Bombyx mori: one gene and its partner. The protein of the gene in region 1 binds, or shares a complex with, the protein of each later gene. Links are inferred from orthologs where the notes say so. Each region holds a gene or a part of one and is shown in the gene's direction. Other genes may lie near its edges. The genes, in order: integrator complex subunit 9 and integrator complex subunit 11.

Evidence for each region.
Region 2: the proteins of integrator complex subunit 9 (region 1) and integrator complex subunit 11 are in contact, whole or in part, in a cryo-EM structure (PDB 7SN8), measured with the Drosophila melanogaster proteins. The link is inferred for Bombyx mori from reciprocal best matches to the Drosophila melanogaster genes IntS9 and IntS11. Residues at the interface, in NP_648838.3 of Drosophila melanogaster: Glu128, Tyr198, Asp199, Glu200, Lys201, His230, Asp333, Ser334, Ala337, Tyr338, Asn340, Ile341, Glu344, Gln351, Val354, Tyr355, Leu356, Pro357, Asp358, Asp359, Pro360, Arg509, Lys510, Leu511, Asp512, Arg513, Ile514, Tyr515, Ile516, Ser518; in NP_651721.1 of Drosophila melanogaster: His94, Lys97, Ala98, Pro135, Thr137, His139, Gln140, Ser141, Glu149, Lys151, Lys274, Thr277, Tyr278, Lys280, Met281, Phe282, Ile283, Thr284, Trp285, Phe294, Val295, His296, Val450, Lys451, Ile452, Pro453, Val454, Asp455, Ala456, Ser457.

Annotation. Positions count from the first base shown.
Region 1 is NC_085111.1:141,674-146,023, reverse strand, and holds the start of integrator complex subunit 9, read left to right. Parts: upstream 1-1,471; 5' UTR 1,472-1,762; coding exon 1,763-1,771; intron 1,772-2,464; coding exon 2,465-2,656; intron 2,657-3,273; coding exon 3,274-3,476; intron 3,477-3,666; coding exon 3,667-4,350. UniProt on the Drosophila melanogaster protein: Component of the integrator complex, a multiprotein complex that terminates RNA polymerase II (Pol II) transcription in the promoter-proximal region of genes.
Region 2 is NC_085124.1:3,287,748-3,292,070, reverse strand, and holds integrator complex subunit 11, read left to right. Parts: upstream 1-1,556; 5' UTR 1,557-1,867; coding exon 1,868-3,673; 3' UTR 3,674-3,744; downstream 3,745-4,323. Other genes in the region: GDP-mannose 4,6 dehydratase, read right to left, coding at 1-74, 654-722; probable tubulin polyglutamylase ttll-15, read right to left, coding at 3,753-3,866. UniProt on the Drosophila melanogaster protein: RNA endonuclease component of the integrator complex, a multiprotein complex that terminates RNA polymerase II (Pol II) transcription in the promoter-proximal region of genes.

The DNA of each region.
Region 1 (4,350 bases):
CACGGATATAAATAAAATAAAATTCTTTTATAAACCGAATGCATGTATGTGTGTATGTACGTAGGCCTTTGACTGTATTCCTAACCTAGGTTTTTATGTTTAATAAACTCCGCATCCATTCACGGACCGGTTATTATTATTCGACTCGACTGTGTTATGTACTTACCTAGCGGTTGTACAGAGTTGTGTTTTTTTTATTGCTTGGATGGGTGGACGAGCTCACAGCCCACCTGGTGTTAAGTGGTTACTGGAGCCCATAGACATCTACAACGTAAATGCGCCACCAACCTTGAGATATAAGTTCTAAGGGTCTCAGTATAGTTACAACGGCTGCCCCACCCTTCAAACCGAAACGCATTACTGCTTCACGACTGAAATAGGCAGGGCGGTGGCACCGCCCGCGCGGACACACAAGAGGTCCTACCACCAGTAATTATGCAAATTATAATTTTGCGGGTTTGATTTTTATTACACGATGTTATTCCTTCACCGTGGAAGTCAATCGTAAACATTTGTTGAGTACGTATTTCATTAGAAAAATTGGTACCCGCCTGAGATTCGAACACTGGTGCATCGCTCAACACGAATGCACCGGACGTCTTATCGCTTAGGCCACGACGACTATTCTTACACTTACACTGTATACATATAAAATATATAATTACCTACAACAACGTAACAAATGTTGTGTACAATAATAGCATAACGGACTTGGATATGACTTCCCACCAACATAATTTATAATCTGAATTGACAAGTAGATAATCTAATTTTTATCACACTAAACTTGACTGGAATAACACTAGGTATATCTGCTATACAGTACAGTATAATAATAACAATGTATTTCATGGTTCATAATATATTACTTACCAAAGGTTTTACAAATAGCTTAATAAATAGACATACCCGATCCTGTGGACCGAACGGTAACAAGTCGACGTCGCTCTAAACACGTCATTACGGATCCTCCCGATTCATTATCGGTACTTTTAAGTACACACCTCAAGCACCGGTCACCGTCCTCGCCGAACCCGTCGCTTGTGACGAAGGGCTCGACGAGTAAATTAACCCATAGACATAGCACACTGAGTTTCTCTGCTCTTGCTAGGGCCAGTGTTAGCAATACTTCCGGTTTGAGCACCGTGAGTTCACCTACACGTTAGGGCGAAGCTGAAATAGCCTCTCACGGCTATCAGCATAGGTAGGAAAAAAAATGGACTAGAGAGTGATACGGCTAACTCTTTTTCCCGAGGAATGCAAATGCAACGAGTTTCATTGTTTCCGAATAACAAATTCAACGAATATGGAACCGTAGTACAAATTTTGTTAATTAATGAATTACATTTAATATCGTTTGTTTCATTTTACTTTTACACAACAGATATAACTCGTTTGTTACAAATATTTAGTTGTATGTATTGAATATGCTCCCTTTGCCTGTCGATTAAAACAATCAAATGCTTATCTGACAGATAATATCTGTAGGTAGGTAACTAGAACCTACCTACCTACATAATATAAATATATTTTGTTTAGCTATTTTGAAAGTACTTATGTACCTAATATTCATTTATTTCAATTAATGATGTTGTACAGTTATGTATTATCTATGCAATACACTGAATAAACGGTTCATCAAACCTAAGCAAAAATAATATTGAAGCCGGACAAATTGATAAAGCAGTTACTAATACATAAACATACTTTAGTAATAAACAATATTCGTCCGCAAATTCGAAATATAATATATAAACTAATAATGAAGCTTGTAAGTATGCAATATCTTCACTAATTTATTCAAAACACTTGAAAAATATGTAAGAGTTGAACTTGAAACACAAAATACAAAAATAATATTAGAATTCATACTATTAGAAGATTGTGTTAGAATTAAACCTGCAGGACGCGAAAACAAACCAAATTGCAGTGGAGTGCTCCATTTGCAAGTAGTTTATTAATATAGTAAATTATTTTACAAGAACAGCCCATACGTTTTTACTGTAATGATATCCTGGGTAGAGAGGCAGTCTCCCACATCCCCACAATTTTTACATACAATTTTGTTTAAGTGATTATTTCATAGCTTTTTGGGATATGAACCTAATACTAGAGACTAAAGGCACCACAAGATGAATGATACCTCTAAGAATTTGTCCCTCTCTTCTATTGAAGTATTGATTGCTTGGATCCAATGACTAACCAGTTAAATCGGAATGCATGATTGTGTCTGAACAGAAATAAGTAGAATGGTTTGAAATTGTCATAAATCATTCTATGTGTACTCTAAGATCACAGCTGTTATACAGGTACTATAGGGACAGAAAAATAGGTGTGGCTTTAAAATACCAGGATGGCTCCACTATTCTGGCATATCTGTTTAATTGAGCATTACCATATGGACCCCTGACTTATAAATAATATAACCAGTGCTTACCTTAAACAATGTTTGATTTGATTACAGTATTGTTTAAGCAATGATGCAGCGAAGCCTTGCTTTGTGTTGTCTTTCAAAGAGCTCCTCATAATGTTGGATTGTGGGCTGTCATCCCACTCTGTGCTCAACTTCCTACCGCTGCCTCCAGTGCCTAGCACTCGACTCGCATCCCTGCCTAATTACACACCACCACATCACAATGATCCACTCTTGGAAGGGGTATAAAAATTAAGCTTATTACATTTCTTATTATCATTATTTATATATCAGTACCTAGGTATAAAGTGGTTACTGGAGTCTCTGGTCATGACAACATTATTACCACCACCCACCTTGAAACATGAAGTTGAATTCTCAGTTGTATTGTATGATGGTTGTTCCATTCTTCAAACAAGAGGCAATCACAGCAAAAACAGACAGGATACTGAATCCACCACTAAATATGGTATAGTCAGTATGCTGCTTTAATACTCACAGAATGCTTATTCTCTGGTGAATCCATTAGGTACAGTCTTTAAGCAAAAAAACACATTTCATCAATTAATTATTTTATATACAAACATTAAATTAATAAAAAACTCAAAACTCCTCATTAAAATAATTTTTAAACTTATCCAACTGTATCTCTCAGTTACATTACACGTACCTTCCAAACTGCATTCAACAGATTTCTGATATAAAAAATCAAAGGGACTCATATTTTAAATCTGACTCCAATGCTATGATTAAAAACCCTATGTCAAATAAGTAATAACATGTTAAATTTAATGATATTTCTTTATAATAAAAACAGAATCAATATCAGGTGATATTTAAACTAACCCATCTCATTACAGGAACTAAAGGAGTGTTGCGGCAGAGTGTTTGTTGATAGCATGCCTGAGTTTTGTCCGCCTCTCGATAAAGTAGTCGATTTTTCTCAGCTAGATGTAATTTTAATCTCAAATTACACTTGCATGCTGGCCCTGCCTTTTATAACAGAAGATACAGGTTTCAAGGGCCAAGTGTATGCCACTGAACCTACTCTACAAATAGGAAGGTATTCATTCTCTATTCTTTTTATGCCTTCAAAAGTATAATGATAAAAAATATACATTTCTGTATTGTATATATGGTTATAGAGTATATAACAACACCATATTATTGTAAACAGAATATGCTTATTGAAAGTACAGTATCAGAATGGATTGAAGCAGCAGAAAGATGTAATAAAGATAATATATTTGGAGGTTCTACCTGGAGGAGCTGTCGGAGTGGGTGTGCTCAAGCGGGTCGGGGTCGGGCTCGGCCAAGCGTTGGAAGGAGGCGGTGCACGTGCTGCCCGCCCCCCTCGCCGACGTGGTGCGGCCCCGCGCGTGGCGCCGCCTGCTCGCCCCGCACCACGTCGCCCGCGCCCTCGCGCGCGTCCGCGTGGTCGGCTACGACGAGAAGGTCGACCTGTACGGCGCGCTCGACGCCACCGCCGTCAGCTCCGGCTTCTGTCTGGGCTCCGCCAACTGGGTGCTGCGCTCCGCCCACGAGAAGGTCGCCTACGTGAGCGGCTCCAGCACGCTCACCACGCACCCGCGCCCCATCAACCAGGCGGCTCTGCGGGGCGCCGACCTGCTGGTGCTGGCCGCGCTCACGCAGACGCCGGCGCACAACCCGGACCACATGCTGGGCGACCTGTGCGTGCACGCCACCGTCACGCTGCGCGCCGGCGGCTCCGTGCTGTGCCCCGTGTACCCCAGCGGCGTGCTGTACGACCTGCTGGAGTGCCTGTCGGCGCACCTGGACACGGCGGGGCTGGCGCACGTGCCGCTGTACGTGGTGTCGCCGGCGGCCGAGGCGTCGCTGGCCTACAGCAACATCCTGGCGGAGTGGGTGTCGGCGGGCAAGCAGGCGCGCGTGTACCTGCCCGAGGAGCCGTTCCC
Region 2 (4,323 bases), on another chromosome or scaffold:
GACGAGGATCGACGAAGGATCCCGTGAACTTCATAGCCTTTGTCTATGAGAAATTCTGCTAAGTATGAACCATCCTATAAAACGTTTAATTATTAAACTGTCAAGGTAAAGTTTGGACACAAACACTGAAGTTTGATACAAAAAAAATAAGTTTTTTTTTCTTTATTCTTTCTGGCCATACCGCCCACCTGATGGTGAGTGGTTACCGTCGCCCATAGATTTCAGCAATGCCAGGGGCAGAGCCATTCCGCTGCCTAGCGCTAAGTACTCTCCAAAAACCTCGTTTGAAGAAGGACATATCATAGTGTTCAGGAAATGAGGAGAGCTCATTCCAAAACAGAATGGTACGTGGTAAAAAAGATGGAAATGCTCTGTGGATGAACTCAGTGGCTCCAGGTAGTAGGTGTGAGGGTAAAATCGAGATGATGGTATCATCTCAAAAAATTCCTCAGCGGCGAAGTCCCTCCGCACACCCAAGAGTTAAAATAAAAATATATATAATTTGATTTCGACTTTAATTTCTTAATCATTGTTATTTTTACAATAATTTTTGGTACGATACACGTACCGCTATGGTAATTCAACAGAATGATTATTTAAATAAATTAAGTACGTGTAAAAAAATCATTTTAAACATTTAGGATAGTACATACCTGGCCAGTTATTCCAGTTATTAAGGCAATTTTTTTCGGATCGATTACATTAGAACTATCTCCGGACATATTCAAATTTTAGGCAATCAAATTTTAAATTGTTATAGAAAATGTAGTTTACACGTCCTCACTTCGGTACCGGCTCTGGCTGATAAGGCGTTTCTCTTGGCTCTTATCACAACAGTACTTACAAGCTATACACAGTAATCATAACCTAAGGAAATTCAATGGTGTCGAATAAATAAACGATATTAATTAAGACAACGATTTTTAGTGTTGCAATAAAGTTAAATATTATAAATCAGTACTTAAGCTCAATTGGTAATACGATTCCCACTTTTGTTTGCACAGCCATGGCACAGCCTAAACCAAAACACAACATAATACACATAGATTATACACTTAATATATTTGAGAACAATACATACAAAGACTATCACAATTTTTTTAAGGGATTTGTGACCTGATAACTAAGACCTTTAAGTAATGTCTTGTTGACTTCGACTTTTTGGTGGGAACGTGAGGAGTGAAGTTGAGTGATTTGTTTTATTTTGTCTATTTAATGTTTCTTCAGGTTGAAATGTACAATAACGTTGGTTTATTAACTGCCTAATATCTGTGAAAGTGCACAAATGTGGGAAAATGAAGCCAAGCCGCTGGACGTAACTTCTCTGGATCCTCCAAAAAGTCTACTGAAAAATCTCAGTAAATGACCGCCATTTTACTGAGATTATATTTCATCCCATATCATTTCATCTCCTTTCATTTAATTTCATCCCAGTTGATTAATGCCCCAAATTAATCACCTTCATTTCATTTCACTCCATTTATCATTTTTCATAAAAATAAGAATATAAATTAAAATAAGACATGACCTAAAAGTCTTAGTTACCAGGTCATAAAATACCTTAAAAAAATAATAATGATATACACATACCGCTTTGACATTAGTGACTATAGATAATACAACCCATGTTGCGGAATTGTGATGATAATTAACAGCAAATTACTTAAAAAATATTGTTTGTTATTTATAAATAACATGTTTTAGGGTTAAATGAGTTTTAACAGTATGTAATAAATTATTTTTATGAAACATCGTACTGATTATTAATACACCACGGTACCTACTGGCGAATCATTTCGTGTCGTTAATATTCATAATCTTGAAACGTATATTTTCATAAGCTTCCTTGGATGTGGTAAAACTTATAATGCCGGATATTAAGATTACGCCACTCGGAGCGGGCCAGGATGTTGGTCGGAGCTGCATCTTGCTAACCATGGGTGGCAAAAACATAATGTTAGATTGTGGTATGCATATGGGCTACAACGATGAAAGAAGATTTCCTGATTTCTCTTACATTGTCCCGGAAGGCCCTATAACGAGTCAGATTGACTGCGTTATTATATCACATTTTCACCTAGATCACTGCGGTGCACTGCCCTATATGTCCGAAATGATTGGTTATACCGGCCCTATTTACATGACACACCCGACTAAAGCCATAGCACCAATCCTTCTCGAGGATATGAGGAAAGTCGCAGTGGAGCGCAAAGGTGAGTCAAACTTCTTCACTTCCCAAATGATTAAAGATTGTATGAAAAAAGTGACAGCTGTGACTCTCCATCAATCAGTAATGGTGGATAATGAATTAGAAATCAAAGCTTATTACGCAGGACATGTCTTAGGAGCTGCAATGTTCTGGATCAGAGTAGGGTCACAATCTGTGGTTTACACAGGTGATTACAACATGACACCTGATAGGCACTTAGGAGCCGCCTGGATTGACAAATGTAGACCTGATCTGCTCATAACAGAATCCACATATGCAACAACCATAAGAGATTCAAAACGCTGTCGTGAAAGAGATTTTCTCAAAAAAGTTCATGAATGTGTAGAAAAAGGAGGTAAGGTTCTGATTCCGGTGTTTGCATTAGGAAGGGCACAGGAACTTTGTATTTTATTGGAAACATATTGGGATCGTATGAATCTTAAATATCCAGTTTACTTTGCTCTTGGACTGACAGAAAAAGCAAACAATTACTATAAAATGTTTATAACATGGACCAATCAAAAAATAAGAAAGACATTTGTTCAAAGAAATATGTTTGACTTTAAGCATATTAAACCATTTGACAAGACATACATTGATAATCCCGGTGCTATGGTAGTTTTTGCTACGCCTGGAATGTTGCATGCTGGATTGTCACTAAACATCTTTAAGAAATGGGCTCCTTATGAGCAGAACATGGTGATTATGCCAGGATTCTGTGTGCAAGGCACAGTCGGACACAAGATCCTCAATGGAGCAAAGAAGGTTGAATTTGAAAACAGACAAGTGGTTGAAGTTAAAATGGCAGTAGAATACATGTCATTTTCAGCTCATGCTGATGCAAAAGGAATTATGCAATTGATACAATATTGTGAACCCAAAAATGTATTGTTGGTACATGGTGAAGCTCAAAAAATGGAGTTTTTGAAAGATAAAATAGAGAAGGAATTCAAAATTAGTTGTTTTATGCCAGCTAATGGTGAAACATGTGTTATAAATACTCCAACAACCATTCCTATTGATGTCTCGTTGAGGTTGCTGAAAGCTGAAGCAGTGAGATACAATGCCCAACCACCTGATCCAAAACGCAGGCGAGTTGTTAATGGGATTCTGTGTGTGAAAGATAACAGGCTATCATTACTAGACATTGATGAGATGTGTGATGAAATCGGAATAAACAGGCATATCATTAGATTCACAAGTACAGTTCGTTTTGAGGATCCGGGGCCAGCTATCAAGACTGCTGAAAAATTGCAGAATTTACTGACGGAAAAATTAGAAGGCTGGACTATAACTATATCGGAAGGAAACATATCAGTTGAGTCAGTACTCATCAAGGTAGAAGGTGAAGATGATAGCACAAAAAACATTTATGTTTCTTGGACAAACCAAGACGAAGACTTAGGTAGCTATATATTAGGGCTCCTGCAATCAATGGTTCAATATAGTCCAATGAAAGAATAAGAAATGTCATGTTTTAGGATTTTTATTATGAATTATTTTGTAATTTTGAATAAATTAGTTTTAGTTAATAATATTTGTTTTATGTACACCAAGTGATATCCACATTGCATTTTCCCTGGTACCATAAGTACTGAAGTCTGTTTGGTTTGTTCAAGTGCTTCAAGTCCTCTTCTTTTAAAGTAGCATTGGCTTTCTGGAATATAAAAATAAAATGTCAATAAAATACAATATTGAGTTTCACCTAGTGTGGACAAAAGAAAGTTTCTATAAATGCAAAGCAACATCTTTTTTATGGTTAAAAATAATGGAAGGTGATTTATGGTTTAGGATTCTTTTTCCATGGTGCCACAGTATGAGTCTCATAGAAAATGTGTCTTACTTCTGCACTACCTACCGATCTTAAATTGGTGTCCGTTATACATGTAGTCGTCGTGGCCTAAGGGATAAAACGTCCGGTGCATTCGTGTTGAGCGATAACCCGTTTTTCGAATCCCAGGCAAGTACCAATTTTTCTAATGAAATACGTACTCAACAAATGTTCACGAATGACTTCCACGGTGAAGGAATAACATCGGGTAATAAAAATCAAACCCGCAAAATTATAATTTACGTAATTACTGGTGGTAAGACCTCATGTGAGTCCGCACGGG